Linked DNA regions of Zea mays. The main gene of each other region encodes a partner of the protein of the gene in region 2 in a complex. Links are inferred from orthologs where the notes say so. Each region holds a gene or a part of one and is shown on either strand. Other genes may lie near its edges. The genes, in order: Serine/arginine-rich splicing factor SC35-like, pre-mRNA-splicing factor prp45 and arginine/serine-rich splicing factor SCL28 transcript II.

Region 1 (6,393 bases), on a different chromosome or scaffold from region 2:
TGACGGGAGATCTCTCAGGAGAAGGTGACATCTTGCGAGGTGGGGAGCGACTAGGGCTCTTACTTGCTGGTGATGCACTGCCAACAATTGTAGAAAGAAAGAAAAAATGTTTACAGCAGTCTAGAAAGAAAGAAAATGAAACCTGGTCCTCTATAGTTTGCAAACCTGTCTCTGCCACGCCTCTTGTAATCATCAGGACTGCGGCTACGACGAGGGCTTCTTCGCTCAGGTGACAAACTGCCCATAACCACAGCAGACAATGTGGTGAATAAGTGGAAGCCAGCAAGATGGAACAATTAAAACAAATGATCTATGTATATACCTGTCTCTCCCACGCTTCTTGTAATCATCAGGACTGTAGCTGCGACTCGGGCTACGATGGCGGTAATCCCTATCCCTGTACCTGTCACGGGTGTATCTATCTCTACTCCGGCTACGACTTCGCCTTCTATAATCTCTATCATGGTCATCTCGATAATCATCACGGTACCTTCAAATGGGTCCAGTCACAGCATTAAGAAAACGAACAGAACAAGATTTGAATAGGCTTGATCATAAACAGCAGAAAATCACAAATTCACAGCCCATTTTAGGAATACAGCTTAATTCACCTTCACTGTGGAAATGAGACAAGGGTTAACAAAGCTATACCTAATTCTGAAAATGAAATAATAACTCCGTTCACAAATATATGACACCGTTGACTTTTTCAAAAACTTTGACAAATCGTCTTATTCAAAATATTTATTCAAAATGTAAAATTTTACGTTAAGCACAAACTACCTTAAATGATAAAACAAATCATAAAAAATAAATGATAACTCATTATTTTTTTGAATAAGACGAGTGGTCAAAGTTTTAAAAAAAGTCAATGGTGTCATAAATCTATGAACAGAGGGAGTATGACTTTTGCGCACAGGTGCTGCACGTGACAAGTGCATTCACAGTTGACACTTACCAATCAATGGTACACGCCACCAACACACAAACTACCCAATTTTACAATTTTGGCTATCTCCAATAGATCCCCTATCTCATCCCATATCTTATCCCTTATTTTTTTTTCTCGAAAGCGCAAGAGAGCTGCGCGAAAATATATTAAGAAGGAGATAAAGGTCCAAAAGGACCCCAAGATACATGGTACAAAAAAGGCTGCCCTACGGCGGCCAATAACAAGCATAAATGAAACCATCCATGACAAAAACATGGCTACCAAAACAGCACTACAACTATCTAGCTAACAGGGAGACCTGGGATGGGGGCAGTAAGCAAAGACAGCTTCTTTGCACCAGCCATAACCCAAAGATCAATCTCCAAACCAACACTTTTAATAGCAACAGCAACACTAGGACTCTTATTGTCAAAAACGCAGCCATTGCGATGCTTCCAAAGGGTCCAAACACCAAGAATGACAAGAGAATTAAGACCATTTCTTGCAATCCCAGGAATCTTGGTGCTCAAATCTTGCCATCAATCCATAAAAACCCCTTCACAGGACTGATGGGCCAAGTGTTGTAGATTAACAAGAAGAACCAGCTTGAACCAAAATTCTCTAGCAAAAACGCAGCCCAGCAACATATGATTTAAGGTTTCCTGATCCTGATCACATAATGGACATCTCTCCGGATGATCCATACCTCTTCTTTGCAACCTATCAGCTGTCCACACCCTCTTGTGAGCGACCAGCCACATGAAAAACTTAGATTTCGGAGGAGCCCAAGTCTTCCATATTATATGAAAAGGCTCAAACTCAATTGACCCAATAAAGAAACCCCTATAAGCTTCCTTGGAAGAATATTTTCCATTGGCAGCAAGGCGAAAGAAATGCTTGTCATCCACATGAGGTCTTAGCTGAACCAAATCTAATAAATCCCATAGGAGGAGGTACTCGTTGATAACACCCACTGAAAGACCCCCCTGAATATCCGAAATCCAGCTGTGATTGGAAAGAGCGTCCAATACTGTTCTCCGATTAGCCCTTTGCTTAGAAATAGTTCTAAATAACCGTGGACCCATCTTATCCCTTATTTCAAACTCCACTTTGCAAACAGTGTCATCTACAGTTCTGCGTTCTCTATTTTACCCTATCTACTGGAGACAGTCTTAGTGAAGTTAAAATACAGTGGTGGGTATCACTTTTCTATAAATTTTGAAGAACAGAAAAAACATGTCCATATAACATTCAGAAAATGATGGCGCTGCTATACCTCCGTCTTGGACTGTGACTCCTGGAACGCCCCCCTGGTCTTGGAACTGGCTCCACTATTCTCCCTTTATTACTGTGAAAGATGCAAGGATTCAGTATGGACGATAAAAGCAGAGAAATTAACGCTACAACAGTAGATATTTGAGAAACTCACACTAGGATGCTTTCCTGTGAAAGCAATTAAAGGAAAAGTTGTGGATGCTCGGTGTGTTCCTAAGAGACATCACATATGATGATTTAACTAATTTATTCTGCTCATCATGTGGCCCTAAAAACTTTTTTACATGAAAAAATAGGACATGTCATATTTATCATAGTTATTAAGGCAATAAGGCGAGTTAAGGCAAGCAATCCCCTTTTCACCTTTTAAGCGGAAAGACGTAAGGCGAGGCGAGGTGACGCCTTACTCATATATAAATATAGGAAAATATAGAGTTAAGATGAGGTGTTTGCACTCAAAATTAGGTCCTAAAACACTTTAATGGGTCCCTAACATACAGAACTCAAAGAATCCAGTAATTTTTTTTGAATTATAAACTGTCAAAGGATGTTAGAAAGAAAAAAAAGAAGTGGAAAAGAAAAAGGAAAAAAAGAATGGTATGGACTTTTATTTGGTGACCCATCTAGAAGCCCATTAACTCAGCACAAACCGAGGTTCCACCACAGCCACACAGCAGCCGCCGCCGATGCAGTGCTCTGTGTGTTCTCCATCTTCTGCCCCCTCCCCCACTCACGCTCGGCTGCGGCGCCAGCGGCTCCCCATCCCGCCGCATGCCTGCAACCTCCACCGCCGCACCGCGTCTTACGTCCGCGGGCAAGGCGAGCAGGACGCCTTGCCATCTACGCGCACCTTAACGCTTAAGCGACACTTTAGCGACGCCTTAATAAGTATGATATACTAAAATGAAACCGCAGTTTACTGTGTTCTTGTTAGTGAATTACCAACATAGAAGACAAAATGAAAGAAAAATAAATAAATAAAGATAAACCAAGAAATGCTGTGGCAGCATAAGTGGCTGTAATATTGCACAAGGAACCAACATGACTAAATAAATTGTACGTTATACCTGATTATTAAAATCCAAAACAAGTAAACCCATACAGAGGTTCAAACTAAAACAGCATTTATATATATAGCATTATGAGTGTTATACAAACTAGTGTTGTCTCTTTGCTCTAACACAGTATTGTACTGAGGTACATGGCAAAAGGTCTCACTACTGCCTAACGTACCTATCCAACAAATATACGATAAGAACTGCATTTAGGATTTAAAATGGCAAGTAAGAACTAGAATAGTCATTGAAGATCTCATGAACTAGGTTAATCATTGAAGATCTCAAGAACAAACACAGCACAGAGAACAAAACTGATGTCTTACATCCGTTCAGCATTTGGGCCGTACTTGGCAAACTGCACCATGATCTCCCTCCCGTCTACCAATCTCCCTGCAAATAAAACGCAGCACAGTTGAACAACATACAATCTAAAACCACACATGGAGCACACTGATTTCTACAGAGGCGAGAACCTCAAACTAAACTCACCATCGAGCCTTTCAACTGCCTTCTGTGCCTCGTCCTCGTACTTGTACCTCACGAACGCGAATCCGCGCGAGTCACCAGTCCTACAACCATAACCCTAGATGAGCACTCGCAAATCGGTGTTATCGCACACACGCACACGAGCGTCGATCCCTAATTCCATATTCTACACCAGGTACTCAGCCATCGCACGCAAGCAAAACTCTCGAATCGTAGATAGAAACATCCTTAGCCTGTTCGACTCGCGCTCACCGGCGGTCCCTTGGGATGTAGATGTCGACAATCTCGCCGTACTTGTCGAAGAGAGGGAAGAGGTCATCAGCAGTTGTGCCTGCGAGGCACCCAAACACAGATGAGGCGCCAATTCAAAGCCCGTAGGGTAGCTGGAATCTGGAGAACGGAAACAGAAGCGGGGAAGAGGGGAACTCACGGAAGGTGATGTTGAGGACGAGGAGTGAGTACGTGTCGCGGATCGGCGGCGGCGGGCCGGATCGACCGAAGCGTGACATCTCGCCGGAGCCGGAGGCGGCGCGGGACGGGGGTGCTCGAGGAGCGGCTGGTGGATGAAGGGTGGAAGGCTAGAGAGGGAAGAGGGGATGGGGAAGAGAACGGGGCCGCAAAAGCTGCCGAGTCTTCTAGGCTTGCACGCACGCGGCACGGTGCGACAAGTGGGCCCCTTGCATACGAACTTTTAGCCAGTGGTCAGGCACTCCTGCTTTTTTGTTTGGTTTGGAGCCGAAATTGCCTGGCCGAGGCATAGATTATAGGTCTGTTTGGTTTGATGCCTAAGTTGTCACACTTTGCCTAACTTTTGTGTCTAAGGTTAGTTCTTCAATTCGAACGACTAACCTTAGACAAAGTGTGGCACATTTAGGCACGAACCAAACAGCCCCATGCATTAATACATTATGCATTGGATATTTGGATTTTGAGTAGAGCTATGATTCCTTGTATGGTAGTCAAGTGTCTGGGAGGTCCTAACCAAACAGGCTCATTTGTTTCACATCAAATTGGCCTGACTCTGACTCTCTTTGGAGAGTGAAGTATTTTGTTGTTTCTTGTTTTTCCGTATAATTATACTTTGCAATGATAATATTATAATTTTGGTCAGCTTTTCAAATACCATGGTTTCAAAAATATAGTTTTCATAAATGTAACCAAACACCTTATAACATAAAAAACCATAATATTCACTAAAAAGTAAAAAAAATACTTCACTTCCAAATAGGCCCTTGTACTCAAACATCTACTATACAATTCAGGGTGTATTGGTAGCAAAGTTTTTAGATACTACAATTTTGAAATACTATGGTTTACATTTGTTCATGACAAAAGTACTGCGGTTTTCAAAACCACACTAAAATCACGGTTTTCAAAAATTTTGAGGATTGTTTAGTATTTGCTCCCTAGCACGTGCTGATATAACAGTGCGGTATGGGGTGGACACGAGACATGTGTGGAGTTTCCAAAACTATAAAATACTATAGTTTTAGGTAGATCATGGTAATTGAAATTATGTTTTACTAGTAAAATCAAACATATTTTAGCTTCCAATACCATAGTATCATTCAATATCATATTATTGCCTTAAAAATGTAAAGATACTAAGCTTTCAAACATGGCCTCACTAATTTTTGGTATTGGCCAATGAAGAAAGCTTTCAAAAAGGAATAAAATGGAGAGTACGATTGCTAAGGACGTAGACGTAGGGGCGATGGTGGAGGAAGGACCAAGATAAAGACCATAAGGTTGTCAGGCAAGGTTAGCAATTTTGGCTGAAATTTAGCAGATTTTGTAGTTTTTTCGTTTTTAGTGCTATACAAAATTGAAATTTCGGTTCGAAAAATTATATATTTCAGTTCCAAATTCAAAAAATATATAAAAGTCAAATTTTGGTCAAAATAGAAATTTTGAACAGTAAAAATGAAATTGTAAACCATATCGTCAGGGCATCGGGCGAGGTGGATGTGGCCAAGGGAGGCGGGATGTTGAGCACAAATGCAGCCATGCGGAGAAACAAAGAAGATAGTCACATAGGAGGACCTACAGATCCTACTTGACAGTTTCCTGACGGATCTCCGCACTTTCCATCCCTCGCGCCAAACATAAATTAAGAACATCTCTATCCCCTCAACTAAAAATTGACATGGAAGGGTCTCCTCCTAGAAAATTGGAATAGGTCTACCGCGTCCCTCCTTGTTTCCAAATCAAAAAGCCTAAAAGGGAAATGTGTCCTTAGACAATTTTTAGTTGCTTTGGTGATTAAATGTCTAACACACCACTTTAAACTAATTCTCTTTATATAAGCATGAGCACAGGAGTAGCAAAAGCAAATTGAAGACAAGACCGACTCGCACCGTACCCGCGTCAACAAACGTTAGTCGGCTCGCGGCTGTGAATGTGGGCAGGGGCAGCAGGTTGGGGAGGAAGAACAGGGCGAAGACCGGGAAGACGAACAGGACGTCCGACGACAGCGAAAACGATGGTGTGGGCGTGTTGTGAAACGTCCTCATGGACGTGCAATAGCCACTGCGCGGGTCGGTGTCAAGGCTGGTGTCAGATGAATATGGGGAGGAGGCACCTGCTCTCACGCCCTGTGTCGAGAATGGGGTGGCGCGGAGGCGGAGGCGGAGGCATGAGGGG
Region 2 (6,231 bases):
AGCCCCAGCAAGGACTTGTTTAGTTATTCCCATTATATATAAATTGGATTAGATTAGAAAAAATTTAGAAAAACTTTGACTTGTTTGGGATTTAAACCCACCCAATCCCACTCCATTCACATAGATTGAGAGTTAACCAAACAAATAAATATAGACGTGCAGAATATCGTTTTGCAATGCAAACTGCTACATGTGAAATGGTTTTATCAAACGGTTTACCAAAACTGTTTTAACTCCACGAAGTTATTCATGACGTTGAAGAAGAAAACACAAAGTTGGAGAAAGAAAAAACGGCTTCGCTAGTAAAGTGAAAGTGTGCCAAACGAAATCTGACTCATCATCTCACACAGAAATAGAATATGATGATGCTAGAAATAATAGCTTATCACAGCTTCATCACACACCCGTCGGTCCTGTGAGCCAAACGAAACCTAAATCATGATCTCACATAGGAAAAGAATATGCCGAAGCCTAAATCATGATCTCACATAGGAATAGAATATCGTGAAGCTGAAAACAATAGCTTTTTCACAGCTTCAAAACACACTCATCGGTCCTGTAAGATTCTGTAAGAACAAATGTACATACAAAGCTGTCTTGCAAATGATTCACCAAAACAGCTTTTAACTTCACTGAGAAAGTTGCTCGTAAAACTAAAAAACTGAGCTGTATGCCTGTTTTGCAAACGGTTCGCTAATCAACTTTAACTTCACTGATAAAGTTGCTTGTAAAACTGAAAAAAAAGGCAACGTGTTGAACCAAACGGTGTCTTAATGTTCATAAGGTGGAGCCTCTGAGCCAATTGTTAGTACCGCATTATTATCATAGGTGTGTCCGTGTGTGGGGGAAAGAAAACATGTGTGCATACTGCTTCAGTAAATTTGGAACTGTCATCAAATCTCTGATTGCAAGCGTGCACAGAAACATATATACTCTACTACAAGATAGCAGTAAGCAAAGTACGTTTTGCCCCAGTTTCAATCATCTGTTGCTCATGCAAACAGCAAAGCAATGTCCACGGTAGTTATAGCAATCGGCCATGCATTCATTGCATATATGTGCTCAATTATCAGGAAATTTTAAATCTCTTTTAAAGAAACTCATGAAACTTTAACAATAAATATAGATCGACCAACTTGATACAGCTCTGCATCAAAAACAAAAAACAAAAATTGCCCTATAAAGGTTTGCTTCTTTGTAAAATGAACAAATGTTTACATGAGAATTAGAACAAACCAGGATCCCAATATTTATAAGGGCAGAAAATAACTAAAATTCAATAAAAGCTACCTTGAAGTATCACAAGTTCACAGGGTAAAAACTGGATATAGGTAAGTTAAGGACACTGCAGAAAAACTGAAAACTAATGTCAACCAAAAACTAGAGCATGACTGAGACTCCACTCAAACCAAGCACACTGAACTAGGAAATGGAGTCACAGATAACCACAGTTCGCATGACACAGCAAAATCTTATTGAGTACAACAGTAAACCATGAATACATCCCCGCAATAAAAAGCAGAAAGAAATAATCTAATAGGCACCACCAAGAAATTCATAAACAGAATGAGCACATGTGCAGCAACCATGGCAACAAATAGCCACGTTGAGTCCATCCATATCCCAAAATGATAACTGATGAAATAATAGAGCCCAATAACATGTATCGTAAGTTCGTAACAATTGATGGAACATGGATAAACGAAGCTCATAGCTCCTATAATGAACAGATACACGCATAGTACATAGACATCATAGGATCCATATAGTACACTCTTAAGCACAACCACTGAAAGTAGGCACATGAGCTATAACAGCACAGGAGCCATGCTCTTTCTTATCAGAGTTCAGCTTCTTATGACATTCTGCTAGAAGATATTTGAGAAAGCATTCCAAACCTGCAGAAGCAGAGCAAATACCTCAGCGCCCCCTTTCAAAGTTGATGCGGGACCTCCCAGATCCACCATCATAATCATCCCTCATTGAGGACCCACCACTCGCCTTCATGGTTCCTCCACCTCCAATCTTCTCCACAGCTTTCTTACCCTTCTTCACCTCAGTCAAGAACTGATCCAGACCAAATGGATCATTTTCTTCCTGCTTATCGAACTCCACAGGCCTGTCTCGCTTGCCAGTCCTCTCTGAAGCACCAGTAAATCCCTTGTCAGGCTTGAACCTCTCAGTCTTCATAACCTTCTCCAACTGTTCATCTGCATCACCATATACATCAGAATCCCCATCCTTCTTAGGCCTGTATAGCGTGGACATCGTGGACTGCGCTGTGAAGAGACCCTTAGAGTAGATATTGTACTGATCATCTGTGGCAAAACCAGAGTCCATTCCCTTGTCCTGGTTGAACAGACGCTGGTCATACATAACCTCACCACCTTTTGCACCACCAGTGCTTGCCATACCAAGAGCAATCTTCTCACTGATATCACGATCCCTGTCCCTTGTGATCTTACTCTTCTTGCCCATTGCAGCATCCTTGGCTTCAAGCCTCCTCTCCCTCTCCCTCTCGCGTCTGCGCTCCTCACGGATTCTATCACGCTCAATCCTTCCTTCCCTCTCTTCTCTAGACTCCCTGCGCTGCTCACGTGATTCCCGTGGTTCACGCGGTTGCTCCATATCCATAACTTCATCAACATCCTGAATTGCTCCCCTGCCACCACCAGCAGGCACACCTGATGGTGCAGGTGGGGCACCAGTCCTCTCCATACGTGCCCTCTGTGCAAGTGCCCTTAGCTCTTGCTCCTTTCTCTCCTTCTCCTTCAGCATAAGTTCCCTCTGAACCTTGGAGCGCATCTGCACTGCCTCCCTCGCCTTCTGCTCTGCCACGTACAATGCTTCAGAAAGCTTTGCAAAGTTATCATTGATCTGCACCTCCTGCAGACCCCTCCCATCAGCCGCCAACCTCTTATCAAGCGGAATCGTGTAACCCTTTGGATTTTTCCAATTTGAAATACAAGGTGGGATCTTCCAATCCTGCTGGTCCTTCACTGTAACTGGCCGTGGCGGCGAGTGCATCACTGGTACAGGTGGTGACCCAGACGCCCGGGGCACACGCTTGTGCTTGAACTTTGGTGGCTCAAGAGGATCCACCGCCATCTCTGACATCCTAATGATCCTCTCCTTTGCACCTGAATTGAAGGCCGCGGATTGCTGTGACGGCTTATACTTGATGAACTTGGACTCAGAATCATGAGTCGGCACATTCTTGGGCTGAGCTGCAGAGAGGCGGACGTTGACAACCTTCTCCAAGGCGGCCTTGGTCCGTTCAGTTGTCTCCTCGATCTGCTTCTGCTCCTCGTCGTCGTCCGACGTCGCCTGGGAATCGGCAGTGGCTATCTTCGGCACGAGGTCGCTATGCTTAGAGTAGACGATCTTGCCTGCGTTCTCCCCCTGCTTGACGACGGCGTCGAAGGCGACGCTGCCGTGTGCGTCGACGGTGAGCGCAAGGATCTTGGATCCGCCCTTATCATCACGGCGTCCCATGCCGAGCGGATACTGCGCGACGTGGATCTCCGGAAAGGCGCCGCCATCCCCGAAGTCCTCCGGCCGTCGCGGCACGAACCCCGTCCGCTTTCCGTAAGGTGGCACGGGCCGGGCGGCGGCCGCGGGCCTCGTCGCCGCGGCCGCCTGCGCCGACTCCCCACCGTACCGCTCCTTGAACCAGGGGTCGCTGCTGTGGTCGTAGAAGGTGGACGCTGACGTCTTGGGCGCCGGTAGGAGATCCTTGAGCGTCGCCATGGAGGCGGCCGCGTGCACGGCGCGTAGGATCTGCGGCTACCTAGGGTTCCGGCGAGTCGCCTGGTGCCCTGGTGGGGGGTCAGGGGAAATCGACGAGGAGGACAAGCTAGGGTTTGATTCTAATTTGGGGAAAGTGATAAAGGGTGTGACTGAGAAGGCGGCTACTGGCTGGGCTGGGCTGGAGTGGGCTTTTTGCAATTTGTAAAGGCCCGTTTCAGAAGCGAAACCAGTAAACTCTAAATGGGTCGATGCAAGAAATGGCTTCTATTGGCCTGCGCGCTCGGTGGTTTGGTAGCTCATTTTTACATTTTAAAATATTCAAAATTTTAATACTATACTCTAGAACTTAAAAAATGAAGAAATGAGTATCTGCTGTCCGCCAATGGATTGTAGGCAAGGTCGGAGCTGAGATTTGGGGGCCTAGGGCGAACATAAAAATCGAGCCTCTTCTAATATTTCTTGAGATAAAATCATCAATGGTTGTGTTGATCTAATATAATATTTTTCTCAACGTATAGGTGGCAAAACCACTCAATCGTTCTCAAAAAATTGTAGATCTGAAATAGTTATTCAATTATTTCAATATCGAAAAACTCATTTCAGTTGATGCCACCATGACAGGTATAATAAATAAGACTTGATAATTTATATAAGCAATAGAATAGAAATCTATCTTATTGACATACTAAAAACTCTTAACTCGGAAATTAGATTATTTAATTCAGCATTAGCTCTCATATTAGCTATATAATTAACTATATGATGTGGAGCACCTATGATTTGGGGGCCTAGGGCGGCTACCCGTCCGGGTTGGCCCTATGCCAAGAGCTGGCCCTAATTGCGGGGACTTAATTATAAAAATATTTGAATGTTCCTATGAATTAAATATTTATTTGGATTATTAAATAATCTATACGCAATAATCCACCATCTAGACAATTATATAAATAGAAATCTATTAATTACTAACTATAAGATTAAATAACTTATACAATATTTTTAAGCTAAACATTACATCATGGCAATGCACAACAAAACATGTGCATCAGATAAGGTGCACCAAATAGGACACCAATAGAGCTTAAAGAAGAGATCGCATACACTTTATAACCATCGGACTTGTTTAATGCACCACCAGACATATTATTGAACAGGATACTCAGAGAGCATGTAAATTATGTCTAAAAGGTCGAGTACTCAACGTATTTGTCCACCATGCTACTAGTTATGGCATCAAGCAGGATAATCAGAGAGGTTTGCTACTATATGTAACTAGAGATGATAGTGGAGTACGCGTGTGGATAAATAACCACGGATAATTATTCATTAGAATGGATATGGTGGGATTTGTTATCAATGGGTATTGATATTTATGCAATTTAGCATTTTTTGTAAAAAACATATTTGGATTCTTAACGGTTTAATATCGTTTTTGGGCCCTTTGTTCGGTGTCATAGACCATGCCACCAAGATAACACGGCTCAGCGTCGTGACCTATGGCGCCGAGATCATAACTACGCTGGCATTTAGGTACACTACTGGCAGCTGACATGCCGCCGAGGTCCTAACTACGCTGGGAAAATCGAGTTGTAGCGTTGATTTTACAGGACTATTCTTTTCGATGCATGTTTTCACTACAAGAAACAAGGCAGAGAGTGTCGGTCAAAAACTCACACTCTTACTGAAATAAGCCAACACTCTTAGTATAAGAGTGTCGGCCAACTGACACTCTTAGGTGACCTGAAATGGATGCTCTTATTCGTATAAATGTGTGGGACTGACACTCTTACGTTAAGAGTGTCGGTTCAGCACGCAACCGGCACTCTTATGCTAAGAGTGTCGGCCAGTGACATGGCAAACATTCTTATTGTGCGCACGGTCCCTAGCCTAGCTGTGTCATATAAGAATGTGTGGGCCGACATTCTTACTGAATAATTTTTTTTAATATCCAGTTTTATTTTTCTCCCTCTCTGGATGGGAAGCCTCCATAACAGTTCAGTAACAGCACAATACAAGCACAATATTCAATATATCACAACACAAGTACCATATTCAATATATCATAACAAAAGCATCATATTCGATATTTATACAAGTTCAAGTCCATAAGAAAGAAGTTCAAATCCATTTGAAACAAGTTCAAGTCCATACAAAACACAATGCTAGTAAGTTTCACATAAGCCTCCATATTAATTCATTCCGTCCGTGGGTCATTGAAGCCGCCGCCACTTGTATTCATTAATACAAGTTTCTCTTCGTACTGTTTTTCTTCGAACTCCTGTGAGCTCCTCAGCTCCACCGCATCCTCCATTTTTTTGCTTCCCAAAAGAGCTTCCCGCTTGCTCGGAGGACGCTCATCTGTTGAATCGGATTTCCGATCCGGAGTGTTGCTCTCTACAGAAGGCAGACCCACCAACTTGAAACCTTGAAACCTTTTCCTTATCCGTGTCACTCGACTCTAGCCCCTGCCCCTCTGCTTGC
Region 3 (6,292 bases), on a different chromosome or scaffold from region 2:
CCATGTAATATACTTTCATAGTCTACTTAATTGGTGCCATAGGTGTTGATATTCTTTCCTATTAAGCTGGTCAATCTTACAAAAGTTTGATTTAAGATAACTCTAGAAGTTGATTTATTTAGGGATGGATGGAGCATTATATATCTAGAAGGGCAGGCCAGGTGTGATGGTGAGAGTTGTCTCACTGACTCACTAAGCAGCCTCTCCTCATTTGCGGGGGAAGGCTTGCCTCGGTTTATCCATTCCCCAAACCCCACTCATGTGGGAGCCACCCACACTGGGTTTGCCCTTTTTCTTATGGTGTATTACCTTTAAATCATAAAAGGGGTATAATAAACAAGTAATAAATACATTGTGAATACATTAAATATCCACCCTTGCTTCTAGCATATATAATATTTTGAACATTGACGCAATCACAAGTATGCAACTCCAACTGCCGATTTTAATAAAAGCAACAAGTTCTAAAATTACCATCACTGTTCTTAAGGTGACGCCTAGGCGTCCAGGCGGTGGTCCAACGCCTTGTCTCGCCTTACCACTTTAAAAACCATGATTACCATGTTATGAAAATATTGTTCATGAAAAATTAAACAGTATACTTGGAACAATGCAACCACTTTGGCACATCCTTCTAATGGTTTGATCATGATAAAATTATATCCATATGAACTGGAAAGAAATGCAACTGCTCCTAAAAATTGAAAATAGCAGAGGCATTCAAAGAACATATAGGATTGAAGAACAACCAACAATTCAAGATACTAGTCTATTTGAAATAAAAAATTGAGTTCAAACCTGAAGTCACGCCTAACTGGAGAAGGCGGTGGTGAATAAGCTGCCAGAAAAGTGATAGCGTTTACTTACAAAACAAAAGAATGCAACATTTAATTTTTGTAAATCGCTTCACACTTACAGTGGGAACGAGACCTTGGAGATCTTGACAGTCTTGTGTATCTTTCATCCATGTACCTACCACTACATCAATGAAAGCACGGATTTATTTCTTTTCATTACTTCAAGTATAAGTTTACTACAGTGTTGCTAAGGACAACCTAGAGCACATGGCAAAGGATAAAGAAACAAATAATGAACCTAGTTCTTGTTCTCATGCGCATTTCTTGTGGCGTTTTTCGATTCTCCTCAGCATAAACTATTGAAATTTCTCGCCCACCAATGACTTGATGATGCATCTCACGCTTGGCAACTGCAGCATCCTCAGGGTAGCGGAATTTGACAAATCCAAAACCACGAAGTTCCCTGTAAAATTGACCAATTCAACCAAGGATTAAGAAGGGAAAAAATCATTGTAATTCAACAAATATACTCCATGTTCCAACAGCTGGCTGTTCATTCCAATCCAAATTTAATAAAGAACCGGTAAATACACTTAGAAACTATTTATCAAAAACAGGGAATAGATAAAACAAAAGTTTGCCCTCATATTAAACATGATTCTTTTTATTGCCAAAAGAACCATAATTTTTAATGAGATAATTCCAGGCCATTTGACATTTCTATCACATTATCACATATGTCCAAATGGATGAAACAAATATAATGTCTTGGAATGAACACCGGAATGACCACTCAAGCAACAGTGTATCGGTCTCCTTATTATTGGTGTGCAACTTAATTCATCTAAGCGCTTTTTCAGTGTTCAAAAAACTTTGTTTGCCAGCTATGCACATACTCCCTCCGGACATAAATAAGTGTCGTTTGGACAACAACATAATACCCAAAACACATTTCAATGCTTGTAAATTATACTAAGTATATTTTTATGTGACTACTTCAAGACAAATCTACCGATATCATTTTTTAATATTCAAACCCAAGAAATATAAAGCAATTCATAAAAAGTAACATCTAATCAAAGTTGAAATTGTTGACTTGCACATAATCCAAACACCACTTACTTAAGACTGTGTTCAGCGGTTCCCCCTAAATTTCTCCCCCTATATCCCACTCACGTGCCACGTCAGCGTTCTCTTTCCCCCTATATCTCCACCCTGTACAGCGGTTCCCCCTAAATCCTTCCCCTATACCCCACTATAATCATAAAATATCATTTTTCATACCTATTCACCATCTATTATCATTTTTTCCCAACTAAAAAACACTGCCGCACACGTAAACCGAGGGCAGGGGGCTCACTGCCGCACCCCCCACATCTGTTTGTTTCCTGTAGCCTCCACTTAAACTGTAGCGTGTAGAGGAGTTCAAAGGGGGCACCGTTGTAGGGATTTGAACCCCCTGGCCTAAACGGCTACAGGGGTAGGGGAGGTCGGCGGGAACCGTTGAAAGCAGTCTAAGGCAGGGTTGGCATGAGGTTGAACTGAAGTTTGACATAAGGCAAAAAAAAACTTTAGAAAGCAATTATTACCTCGTGTGGAAATTCCTTGGCAGGTAAACATCCTTGATAGGGCCGAATTGCTCAAATGTAGCTCGAATATCTTCTGGCCTGCAGACAACGAAAATCCAATAACAGAACAAAATCAGTTAACTACATTGTAAAGCCATCCGAGGGCACAAAAACAGACTGCATCACAATAATACATAACATAGGTATATCATAATGATTACTTTGCAGCAACTTACTATAACATTTTATTGGCAGTTGAAATAGACTGGAACTGTTTGCAAGGTTAAAAAGTCCATCAAACCGTAAGGGTCATACAGTGGCAATAAGATGCAGAAACATCCAAATTTTTATCTGACATGAGAGGATTGGATTATTTGATGTGAAAGAGCCAATGCTCCTTGAGTACAAATAACCATGACCACCAACTTCCTAAACAAACGAGTCATATATTTTCATAATGATCTAAAGTGATTGGCAAACTCTCATACCAAGACATTGAATAGAAACCCAGACCGACTCTAGGTTTGTCAAAGACTAGACAATGGCTTAAACATGATCGATCCACTCTATAAAGGATATATGACATTGATATACAAATCTGCTTTGAGAAGACTAAGGATGCACACCATCAACCCATTTAGTGAATGTCTTCAAAACCCAATGTGTTTGCCATGACAGATGAACTTATCTTTTTTCATAAGAAATTCTGATAAGCAGTTCCATCAGTTATTCATGCACACATCTTCCAGTAAACATCAATTGTTAAATATCCCGTTGCAGCACATTTTACAATCAAACATTTGTTAGCGTGCAAACCACCAAACAATTAATCACCATGTGAAAAATTAAAACACAGTTACGTGCAAATATCAAATGCTGAAAACAAGCTTCAATGTTTGCTTTTATTTTGTGCATAGCATTTAACAACCATCAAATAACACATTAGAGGCCGATCAGATGGGTAGAGGATTGAGCATACAATCGAATCGACAATATATAATTGCATGCAGCAGACAAAAAAAATCACAGAATTAACGGCTCTTGACATTGACCAAACCAGATGGCGCCACGCCCGTTATCCATAGGTCATACGAGACAGAACTGCAGCCACATGTATGGGGTACAGCGATAATTCACCTGGCTGTGAGGGAGATATTACGGATGAGGAGACCGGACTGCGCCAACGGCCGACCGTAACCACGTCGGTCCCCGCCTCCGCCGGCCCCGGCCCAGCGGTAGCGGTCGCGTGGATCGTCGTAGCGCTTGCGCCTAGGAGGGCTCCGGCTGTACCGCCTCCGTGGGCTGTAGCTTCGGCTCGGACTGCGGCTGCGATATCCTGTCATCGCTAGTCGCCGATGCTGTGTCGCGCCTGAGAGGGGCAAGCGGCCTTGCTAGGGTTTCTCCGAGGTTTGGTTCGCCGGTGTTCCGTGACGCTGTAGGCGTTGCTAGGGACTAGGGTTCCTCTTATCCTAACGAAAGATGGGAGCACCCGCTAAATTGAAAGCCCCATGGGCCTTTTTGCCGACGGCCCACGACCAAACTTTGCGCGCACCGCAGACTTCAGACCGCCTCCAACAGTCTACCCCGCCTCTTGCGTCAGCTCTGCCGCCGCCGCCCGGCCGGCACCGCCATGCCCCCGCCTCGACTCCGTTTCGCCAGGCACTTATGCTCCGCCACGGCATCCGATCCCGCCGGCGCTCCGACTTCGTCCACGATCTCAAACGCTGCTGCCCTCGCCGCGGCCGCCGCCCTCCGCACGCCGCGGCTCGAGCCCCGCCTCCTCTCCTTGGTCCCCCGCGCCGTCCTCCTCCATCCAGACTTTGCTCGCCTCACGCTCTCCTGCCTTCTTCCGGCCGTGGCTCCATCGCTCCGCTTCCTACGCGCTCTGTCTCCACACCTCCCCGGCCCCGCCCCTGACACCGCCCCGGTGAACGTCTCCCCTCCGCTGCCCGGGGTCGACAAGTTCCTCCTCCGCCTCCCACCGCACCTCGCCGCAGACGTCGCCGAGCTCCTCAGCTCTTACCTCCGCATCCACCTTTCCCTCCGTGCCTTCAATGTCGCGTCCTGTTCCGCACTCCGCGCGGCCCGCCCAGACCTCGTCTTCCGCTTCTTCTCCGCCTTCTCTTCCTCGCCAGAATTCCCCGGCAATGCCACTACCGTCGGCTGCCTCGCCCGGGCCTACGCCGCCGAGGGCCGCCCCCTCGACGGCCTCGGCCTCCTCCGCGACGCCGCGCGCCGTGGGTCCCCTCCGCCCGCCGACGCAGTTGCTGACCTCATCGGCGCCTTCGCAGCCGAGGGCAACTTCGGCAAGGTCTCCGACACGCTGCACCTCATGATTGCCACCGGGTGCACCCCGGACAAGGTGATCTACCAGCGGGTCATACACGGGCTCTTCAGGCGGAGGATGGGTGGAGAGGCCCTGCGTGTGTTCAGAGAGATCAAGCAGCGTGGCTATGACATTGACGGAGTTACATATACCACGGTGATCCATGGGTTATGCGAAATGCGGCTGATTGGAGTTGCACAGCAGATGTGGGATGAGATGGTGGGCAGGGGCATCGCCCCCAATGAGTATGCCTACTGCTCCCTTGTCACTTACTATTGCAGAGTTGGTGATCTCGACAAGGCCCGCAAGGTATATGATGAAATGCTTGAGAAGGGGTTCAAGCAGACTACTGTTAGCTGTAACATTCTCATCAAAGGATTCTGTGTTCATGGGAGGGTGTACGACGCACTTGAGGTGTTCGAGGAAATGTCCATCAAGGGAATCAAGCATGATGTGATCACGTACGACACATTGATCAATGGCCTATTCAAAGCTGGGAAGTTGGACTTGGCGATGCGGATGTACGAGTGGTTGCTATCATCTGGTTTGGAGCCAACATCGTCAACCTTCGGTCGTCTTATATGTGCCATGTGTGAGAACGGACAGGTGCATGCTGCAGTAGACCTGATCAAGTCGATGCGGACCAAGGGCTTGGAGCCACCGGTGTGGACAAACGATCACATCATCAGTGGCTTTTGTAAGATCAATCTGTCTGATGAGGGCATGGCATGGTTGGCAGGTATGTTGAAGGACAACATAAGACCCCAAAGACAGACATTTGATTACTTGGTGGAGTCGTTGAGCACCTCTGGGCGATTGGACGATGTGTTGCTGGTCCTGAATATAATGTTCAAGGTTGGATTTGAAATAGGCACATTTGCTTGCACCGTACTTGCCGAGAAGCCGTGCACAAGCAATGTATCTTTACTCCCACCAACTGGATAATATTTTGGTCAGCAACCAGTAGCAATCAATTGCCTTGCGAATGATGTTATGTTTCCTTGGCTCCCCCAAGACATGCGTTCATCAAGGCATTTTTTTTGTGGGTGCTGTCTTCAAGTGCTGAAATGCCTTCCAGCAGAAGATTTTGGAGATGAGACAATTTTAATGTTATTGCTGGCTTGTAATCGGCTCTTACTCTAGCATTTTTTGCAGTTGTGGTGGAGCTTATCAAAGTGCTGTGGCTCCTATAGGTCAGTGTAGATTTTTTTTTTGGTGAAGAGTCAAAATAGTTGTCAGCTTGTACCATTCAGTTCGAGAATAATGTCCAAGGCTCTTTGAGTAATGCTTTGAGAGACATTTCATACTGCCAGTACTCATGGGATGGAAAACTTGCCTCACCGGTTTCTGGCGGTTTTCGGCTTCCAATACCTCTCCCGGAGGTAATTTGAGCAATCCCGGAGGTAATTTGAGCTTCCAAACTAGTCCTAATAATATCACAGCCTTGCTGCTCAACGCATTTTTGTCGTTCATATTTTTACCATTAAAGACTAGTTTGACAACCACATTTTTTACAAGGGATTTCTATTCTTTTTCTCAAGGAAAATTAATTCATTTTCTTTGAGAAAATGAGAATCTCTTAGAAAAATGAAGTTGTCAAA

The links.
Region 1: pre-mRNA-splicing factor prp45 (region 2) and Serine/arginine-rich splicing factor SC35-like share a complex: the UniProt entries of both Arabidopsis thaliana proteins name them as parts of the spliceosome. The link is inferred for Zea mays from reciprocal best matches to the Arabidopsis thaliana genes SKIP and SC35.
Region 3: pre-mRNA-splicing factor prp45 (region 2) and arginine/serine-rich splicing factor SCL28 transcript II share a complex: the UniProt entries of both Arabidopsis thaliana proteins name them as parts of the spliceosome. The link is inferred for Zea mays from reciprocal best matches to the Arabidopsis thaliana genes SKIP and SCL28.

The regions. Positions count from the first base shown.
Region 1 is NC_050102.1:175,817,147-175,823,539, reverse strand, and holds the start of Serine/arginine-rich splicing factor SC35-like, read right to left. Parts: upstream 4,321-6,393; 5' UTR 4,260-4,320; coding exon 4,181-4,259; intron 4,082-4,180; coding exon 4,003-4,081; intron 3,834-4,002; coding exon 3,754-3,833; intron 3,655-3,753; coding exon 3,588-3,654; intron 2,280-3,587; coding exon 2,208-2,279; intron 491-2,207; coding exon 323-490; intron 238-322; coding exon 166-237; intron 78-165; coding exon 1-77. UniProt on the Arabidopsis thaliana protein: Probably involved in intron recognition and spliceosome assembly, but not involved in alternative splicing regulation of the SCL33 intron.
Region 2 is NC_050099.1:184,591,038-184,597,268, reverse strand, and holds pre-mRNA-splicing factor prp45, read right to left. Parts: upstream 3,876-6,231; 5' UTR 3,751-3,875; coding exon 1,921-3,750; 3' UTR 1,578-1,920; downstream 1-1,577. UniProt on the Arabidopsis thaliana protein: Splicing factor involved in post-transcriptional regulation of circadian clock and flowering time genes. Associates with the pre-mRNA of PRR7, PRR9, ELF3 and GI, and is necessary for the regulation of their alternative splicing and mRNA maturation.
Region 3 is NC_050096.1:63,177,248-63,183,539, reverse strand, and holds the start of arginine/serine-rich splicing factor SCL28 transcript II, read right to left. Parts: upstream 3,794-6,292; 5' UTR 3,709-3,793; coding exon 3,503-3,708; intron 2,465-3,502; coding exon 2,387-2,464; intron 1,261-2,386; coding exon 1,096-1,260; intron 979-1,095; coding exon 917-978; intron 839-916; coding exon 799-838; intron 542-798; exon of another isoform or gene 475-541; intron 1-474. Other genes in the region: uncharacterized protein LOC100280902, read left to right, coding at 3,996-5,636. UniProt on the Arabidopsis thaliana protein: Involved in intron recognition and spliceosome assembly. Probably active at the 5' splice sites.